Linked DNA regions of Rattus norvegicus. The protein of the gene in region 2 purifies or fractionates together with the protein of the main gene of each other region. This does not show direct contact. Links are inferred from orthologs where the notes say so. Each region holds a gene or a part of one and is shown on either strand. Other genes may lie near its edges.

What was found. Proteins that work in one complex are often made in the same cells at the same time.
Region 1: the proteins of Asb2 (region 2) and Rnf7 purify together in Homo sapiens (affinity purification with western blotting; 3 studies listed by BioGRID and IntAct, with this or other methods). This does not show direct contact. The link is inferred for Rattus norvegicus from reciprocal best matches to the Homo sapiens genes ASB2 and RNF7.

The regions. Positions count from the first base shown.
Region 1 is NC_086026.1:105,924,606-105,928,794, forward strand, and holds the start of Rnf7 (RING-box protein 2), read right to left. Parts: upstream 2,801-4,189; 5' UTR 2,758-2,800; coding exon 2,583-2,757; intron 1-2,582. UniProt on the Homo sapiens protein: Catalytic component of multiple cullin-5-RING E3 ubiquitin-protein ligase complexes (ECS complexes), which mediate the ubiquitination and subsequent proteasomal degradation of target proteins.
Region 2 is NC_086024.1:128,255,151-128,258,650, forward strand, and holds part of Asb2 (ankyrin repeat and SOCS box protein 2), read right to left. Parts: intron 2,971-3,500; coding exon 2,866-2,970; intron 2,475-2,865; exon of another isoform or gene 1,726-2,474; intron 787-1,725; coding exon 620-786; intron 1-619. UniProt on the Homo sapiens protein: Substrate-recognition component of a SCF-like ECS (Elongin-Cullin-SOCS-box protein) E3 ubiquitin-protein ligase complex which mediates the ubiquitination and subsequent proteasomal degradation of target proteins.

The sequences.
Region 1 (4,189 bases), on a different chromosome or scaffold from region 2:
TAAAATGTTTCTAAGTCTCTTTTTAAGTCTTTTTCCCCCTTTTGTTTTATCTTGCCTGGCCTGGATTTTCTACAGACAAGGCTGCTCTTGAATTAACATGCTGAGATGCTCTTGCCTCTGTCTCAAGTTAGAGATTTGCCACACTTTGATCAAAGAAATAGTTCTGTGAATGATGTTCCTAATCTGAGACAGTATTTCTACAGCATACAACAATAACCTTTCAAACAATGCCAGGGATCAGGACTACCAAGTCTTAATTTAATTCCCTGTGGTCACCTGACCACTGAGTGGCACTAAGCTCTCACAGCCCACGAACATGACCAGGAGTTATCTATAACCCAAACTTGGGCCTACGTTAAGCACCTGTCTGTGCTGTAACATTTCATTGGTTACTTTAGGATCTACATCTCTTACTATTTAGATTTGTGGAAAAAATAGCCCTTCCAAGGAAAAAAATCCTTTTAAAACTTCCCTTTGGGTGCTCGCTTCGGCAGCACATATACTAAAACTTCCCTTTGGAAAGATTCATCCTAAACTAAGAAAGAGCTAAAAGAAAGTCTCTCTTGGGCTGGAGAGATAGCTCAATGATCAAGAGCACTGACTGTTCTTCCAGAGGTCCGGAGTTCAATTCTCAGCAACCACATGGTGGCTCACAACCATCTGTAATGGGATCTGATGCGCTCTTTTGGTGTGTCTGAAGACAGCTACTGTGTACTTATAGATAATAAATCTTTCTTCTTCTTCTTCTTTTTTTAAAAAAGTCTCTCTTTTTAAATTAAAGATATTTAAGGTTTATTCATTATTTATTTGTTTGTAAGATAGGGTCCCCCTACTTAGCCTCAGCTGTGTCGACCAGGCTGGCCTCTAACACAGAGATCTGCTTATCTTTGCCTGAGTGCTGAGATGAAAGATACCATTACACCTGGTAGGAATAAAATTTCTAAGCAAAGCTTGTGTTGAAAAAGAACAAAAGTAATGCCCCTGCCTCAGCCTCCTGAGTGCCGGTATTTGCCGGTATTTCAGACATGAGTCACCACACTCAACTCTGAAATGGAAATTATGGCCCAGTTCCTAAGCAAGGGAGAAGGGTGGAACAGCTGTATTTTAGTGTTTTAGTCAAATCGGATATTTAGAAACTAGTGTTTACACAGTAAACAAGTAAAGTTTGGAACCGTGTTGAAAACTTCCTGAAAAGCGAGTACAAAGACTTCAGAATCTCTTGATTGCACATTTGCAAACTACAGAAATCTATTTCAATCAACACCCCCATCACCTTGTAAAGCATTCTCACAGTAATCTAAAATTACGTTTATGCTACCTGCATCTGTGTTTGCATACCAAATGTGCCTAATGCCCTCAAGGGTCATAACGGGGTGCTGGAGTTATTGGAACAGGAGTTAGAGGGTGATGAGCTGCCAGGTGGGTGTGGAACATCAAACTGTGGTTGTGGTGCTCCTAACTGTGGAAACATCTCTCCAGTCCCTCCCTGGCTTTGGTTTTGTTCGAGCCTGACCTCAAATGCACTGCTGTCCCTCCAGCTTCAGTCTTCAGAGTGTTGTTATTACAGGTACAACCAACACACTGGAAGACAGGCTGGTTATGCAGCTCAGTTGGTAGTGTACCGAGATGAAGCTCAAACCCCAGCATGCCTTAGGCCTGCTGGTTCATTTCTGTAAATTGTAGCACTTGGGAGGAGGACGCATCAGGAGACACCCTGGCTACACAAGATAGACCCTTTCTAAAAAAGAGGAAGAGTCTGGCAATGGTGGCACACACTTTTAAACCCAGCACTAAGGAGACAAAGGCAGGTGCATCCCAGCCTGGTCTACAGAGTTCCAGAATAGCCAGGGCTACACAAATAAACCCTGTCTGGAAAAAAAAGACAGAGACAGGGTTCTTTTCAAGGTGGACTGAGCTCTTAACTGTGCAAAACTCAACTAGATTGTCTTGATACGTTTCATTTTGGTCTGATATTTTCGTTCAAAATACTAAAACAGACGACTATGAAAGGAAGTTCTTCGAAAAGGCACAAAATAGCAGGGTAGTGTTTTCTCTACGAAATGGTGTCTTAGGATGGGAAGGGTGCAAGATGAAGTTTCTGAATCAAGCAAACCTTGGCCCTCGCTTCAACACAGGAAAGTTCTGATCCGTCTTGTCAAAATAAAATTTAAAAGCCAGCCAAGTAGCACCACCGAATGCATCCGGAAGCAAACAGACTGAGCATCATTTCGGTTATGACAGAATCCAGATAGTGGCGTAGGCTCGCAATTTCCAGAATTTGGGAGGTGCAGGCAGGAGCCTCAAGGGTTCAAAGTCAACCTCGGATAAATAGGCAAGCTCTAATCCAGCCTGAGGAACGTGAGAGCATCTCAAAAACATTAAACATCCCAACCCTCAGATCCACGAGAGGGATCCGCTGTGGGATTTGCTGGCCGCTAGGCTGCCCAGGAAAACCCCGAGGTTCCTCTCCCGGAACCCGGTCACGCCCACTTCCTGCAGGAACTATCCGGTGTCTGGAGGCCCGGTCCAGCATTCGCCGGCCAGGCCCGCCCAGCGGTCCCGACTTCGCGTGCATCGCTTACCCATCACCTGGACCCTGCAGATGGCGCAGGTATCGCACTCAACGTCCCAGCTCCACATGGCTACCGCGTTCCACTTCTTGAGGGAGAACATCTTGTCGCCTCCCGACTTGGAGCCTGCGCTCCCAGAATGCGAGGAAAGGACGCAGGGTTCCTCGCCGTCCTCCACGTCGGCCATGGCGGCGGCGCAGAACGGCTACGCGGACGTTGGGCGCGGAGGCGGGGAGGTATGGTGGCTCAGCAGGGTCACAACACAAGCCACAGACCCTCCTCAAGGAACAGTCGCTCAGCCGGAGCCAGGCGAGGCTGATTGGCTGGCGCGGGACAGTGACGTCATGAGGGGCTGGGCGAGGCCTGTACAAGCTCTTGTAGTGGACACAGGCCAGTTACTGCATGACAGGCAAGGAACAGTGAGCGAGCAGTCTGGAGTCCTATTGTATTAAACTCGGAGCTTTCAAAAAATCACCTTGTCCCTGCCTCCATTTGTCTCTTTTTTTCCCAAATGTGCACTATCTGAGTAGGGACAGAAATCTCTTTACTGTAACCTCTGTATCTTACAAAATGGCTGCTTGGTACAAAATGGTTGGCCTTGAATTCAGAGATTTTTTTTTTTAATATTTTAACTTTATTTTATGTGCATTGCTGTGAGGTGTCAGATTCCTTGGAACTGGAATTACAGACAGTTGTAATCTGTTATGTGGGTGCTGGGAACTGAACCCTGATCTTTGAGAAAAACAGACTGTTCTCTTAACCACTGAGCGGTCTCTCCAGACATTACATCTTGGGTTTCTTTAAGCTTAAAATGTATTAGGACCTTAACCTTTTTTGTTGTTATTTTTCGTTTTGTTTTGTTTTTGGTTTGGTTTTTTGAGGCAGGATTTCCTTGTGGAACCTTGGCTGTTCTGAAATTAGCTCTGGTCTCAGCCTGGCCTACCCCATGCCCGTGCCTCCCCAGTGGCGAGATTAAAGGTATGCGCCACCACACTCTGCTTCTGGTTGTGGTTCTGAGACGGGTTCTCACTGTGTAGCCCCAACTGGCTTAGAACTCATTATGTAGACTAGGCTGGCTTTGGATCACAGAGGTCTGCCTGCCTCTGCTTCTGGAGTGCTCTGATTCAAGGTGTGCACCAACCTAGGCCTGGCTTTTAGGATCTGCGAAGGCTCAACTCTCGTCAACCGCCATTCTTCAGGTTGTTTTTATCACCTGGGAAAGGTGGTGGAAACCCTCTTGCAGCCACTCCTGCTGCTAAAATTCCCACTGAAGAAAGATTTACACGACGACTCCAGTTAAGCCAATTAGAAGTATGTGAGGCAGTGGGGCCATGGTGGTGTACACCTTACTCCCAGCACTTGGGAGACAGCGGCAGGTGGATCTTTGTCACGTTTCAGGCAACCAAAGCTACACAGAGAAGCCTTGTCTTCAAAACCAAAACCAAAACCAGCCAAACAAAAAATACATAAGTCCCTTTATTAGTGCATGACCAAGTTCCGGCTCATGCCTCAGAGTCTCAAAGTACAGTGTTTTTAAAGCAAAACCCACAAAGACCACAATTCACATCAAACTCAGATGACAGAGTAACCTTGAAATGGTCATTTCTGGCAGAACATAG
Region 2 (3,500 bases):
ATGGAACTAGATGCCACTTCCTCTGGGAAGCCTTCTGAGGTTGAGCTCCTAGCCCTCAAGTGTCTATTTTTCCTTTGCCCCCTTAGTCACTGTTAGAATGGTCACATCTCATGGAACTTTTTCTCTGGTGTGGTTGGTGGGAGTTGGGGCCATTCGATGGCCGGAGTGACCTGCCTGGTGGTATTATGAATCCTAATCTGACCTAATAGAGAGATGGACTTGGGAAACGAGGCAGAGCTCGCCCAGGGTCCCACAGTTGGTGGGAACAGCCTTGGCAGCGCACAGGCACAGTTGTGCCTGAGCCTTTCCACACCAAATCAGCCCCTGGAACATTCTGGGACAAACTGGCAGTGGCTGTCCCAGAACTTAGCTCTTCCCTTGTTCTTTTCTAGGAATTGGGTTTTCCTGACTGACAGGCATGGAGAGACAGCAGCAAGGGGCAGGAGCGGGAACAGAGAGAGGGCTGTCCACCCCACCCCACCCCTACCCCCAGCCCCAACTCTTCACTCCACCCCACCCACACTCGCCGCAACACAGTGACTTTAACTGTGTCTGTGGAGGCCATTACATAGCCTGCCCTCCCCACCAAGAGAGAGCCCTGTGCCCTGCTGGCCCTCACCTCGTTGCAGGACTTTCAGGCAGCCCAGCTTGCCATAGTAGGCAGCCTCGTGAAGCGGCAGCCAGCCCTCCTTGTTGGGCTCTGCAAGATTCTTCCCATCCTGGATCATGGCCTTCAAGGCTTCTTCATCCCCTTCCTTGATGGCCTTCAGCACGGGGTCCATAGCCCTGTGAGAGCAAGCGGCAGCCAGTTCTCAGCTGTAGGCAGAGGCAAGGACAGGTGGCCTGGGTCCTGAGGGCAAACAGGACCTACTGGAGGGCAGGAGCCAGTGTCTGCTCTGGGGTCTCTCCTCGAGTGTTCAGCTTGTTCTGGGCCTAATGCTTGTACTCCAGATCATTGGATGCAAGCGAATTAGTGTGAGAATCTGGCAGCCCCCACGCCTTTCTGGAGCTGAAGCTAATGTCACACCCAAAACTGCTTCTGCCAGGAAGACTCGGGCACAGAGTGCTAACACTGGCTAACTACAGAGGAATCTTCCCAAAAGATGGCCCTCTGATTCATACCATGCACAGCTAGCTGAATGATTGCAAGAGCTCCCGAAGGCAAGGACCTGCCAAGGTCCCTCCCTCCCTCCCTATTCCCCCAGCCTTCCTGCCACCCCATCTCCCCATCGAATCCATTATTCCTACTCCCAGCTGCTGCAAAATGACAATAGTTGAAGGATTAATAAATTAGAATCCTTCACAGTTTAAAACTTCTAAATGTCAAAAGATTTCAAGGCCACAGTGGGGGTCATCTTTGTTTGGCTTACTGAAGACAATTTTTTCTCACTTATCCATTTATTTCCTTGTCTGTCTGTTCTCCGAGACCTCTTTCCCTTTGTCACCTGCTACCGAGTCAGTAGGGACCATGACTATCTAGGATCTTAGGATCAGGAGCTAGGATGGGTTTAGGGGGACCTCTAGGACCAGCCCCCAAACCCTCTCAGCTGCTTCCTCTAGCATGCAACACTTCCTCCTGCCTCTCAGCCTCTGGGTTATTAATAGCAGCTACGGGTGAAGCCAGAGACCCAACAAGGACAAGCGACTGACCAGCTAGATCCTGAAGGCCCATCAACACCATCATAGCCACCCGCTTGAGATTCACTCAGGAGCAACAGGACCAACCTCCATCAGTCTCAGGGAGGGTCCCATGGGGTATGTGGCCACGGCTGAAGTGGAGGGGAATGGGCTGGCTGGTCCTGTGGCCTCGGTGAGGAGAGGTTCCCACGATGTAATACTTGATGTCCAGGCCCACCAGCCAGATGGGTCTCCCCAGCTGGGGTTCACACATCCTGGGACTCTCAGTGTCTCATACACACTAAGAGCCTCCCCAGGAGCTGAGACAAAGTCCCCACCTCAAAGAGGGAGAGGCTGCTAGGCATGTTAAACCACCAAAGACTAGAAGCAAGGTGCACAGGGCCTTGGGAGACAGCTTTGTCTTCCCCAACCCTGCCTTGCAGAAAAGGGAGACTGGCGGTGGGGGAGGAGCGGGGGAGTGGGGTGTCCTGTGACAGACATGCAGGGATAGGCAGTTGTACCCAGATTAGAACTGGAACTTTCTTTTTTTGTCAACCCCAAAGTCCCAAGGACAATGTGGTGCCCATAGGGCTTGGAGAGGCTGAGAATGAGAACTGTATCCTCCTCTCTGCCACACAGAAATGGGGTACCAGCAAAGGGCCCCCTTTTTCCCTTTTAAGTGCTTTTAAGGCCACTCTGAGCCAGAGCAAGGAGGGAGGCACAAATATCCCATCGGCACCATACCCGAGGCAGAACCCTCTCCCTTGGCCCCGGTTAATCGATTAGTTCTGGGCTTTGGCACCTGGCCCTTAAATGAAGGGTCCTGGGTGGAGACTTAGATGTGCACAGATGAACCCCTGGAGGTGGTATGGGGAGACACAAGGAGGATGAATGGGAGTGAAAGTCAACTACACACACACACACACACACACACACACACACACACACACACACACACCAGTCCTTTGAACCTCTCCCTCTTGCTGGAACCCCAGATTCAGAGTCCCATGGAACTCCTCCAGCAGCAGGGTCCCAACCTCTGAAAACATCTGAGGTCAGTCCCAAGCACAGCCTGAATGCCACTCCTAGTGGGCATCAGGCTGCAGCCCCCACGCCTAGCTCAGTAGGAGCACTAGAATCTAGACGCAGCAGGAAGGGGATCTAGGGCTGCAAAGCTAACCCCCCCCCTGCGGCCTCAGCTGGAGGTGTGAGCTGGGTGGTCTTGGGGCCAGGTGGGGAGTCACTTACGCCATCTGGGAGGTCTTGAACAGGTTGCTGCTATACTTCTGCATGACCCCTTGGAACAGGCCCAGGGGTGCTCGGGCCGGTGGGCTCTCGGGAGGAGAGGAGGACCTGGAAGGTGCAGAGCCAGAGTGAAACAGAGCAAAGTACTCTGCATAGGAGAAGCGGGTCATGCTGGAGCCGGTGAGGAGGATGGAGGGCAAGCCGGGAGAAAGAGTCTAAGTGACAGACAGACACAGGGCTCTGAACCAAAGCAGATGGCCGGGTCCTCTCTGTGTGCTGGACACAGCTGCTGTGTCTCTGGATTATTTTTGGCCCTTGGAGGAAGCCCTTGGAGATTTAAATGACCATATAAGACAACAATGAGGTTAACCTTACCCCCGCCCCCACCGCCCCCCTCCCCAGCCAACCACAAGGGCGCAGATATGAAGCAAGGTGACAATTCTTCACCAGGGAGGATGTGAGAAGCAGTTGGTCGGTCGGTGGCAGGCGTCAGGATGGAAGGCCCTGGGGGGATCTCAGTGGGGCTGGAGAAGGGATTCCTGGACAAGCAGGGGAACAGGAGAGCCAGCCTGAGAAGCCAAGACATTTGGACCCTCCACCTTGCTGCCTTCACTAAGGGGACTGTGCACCCCACAATC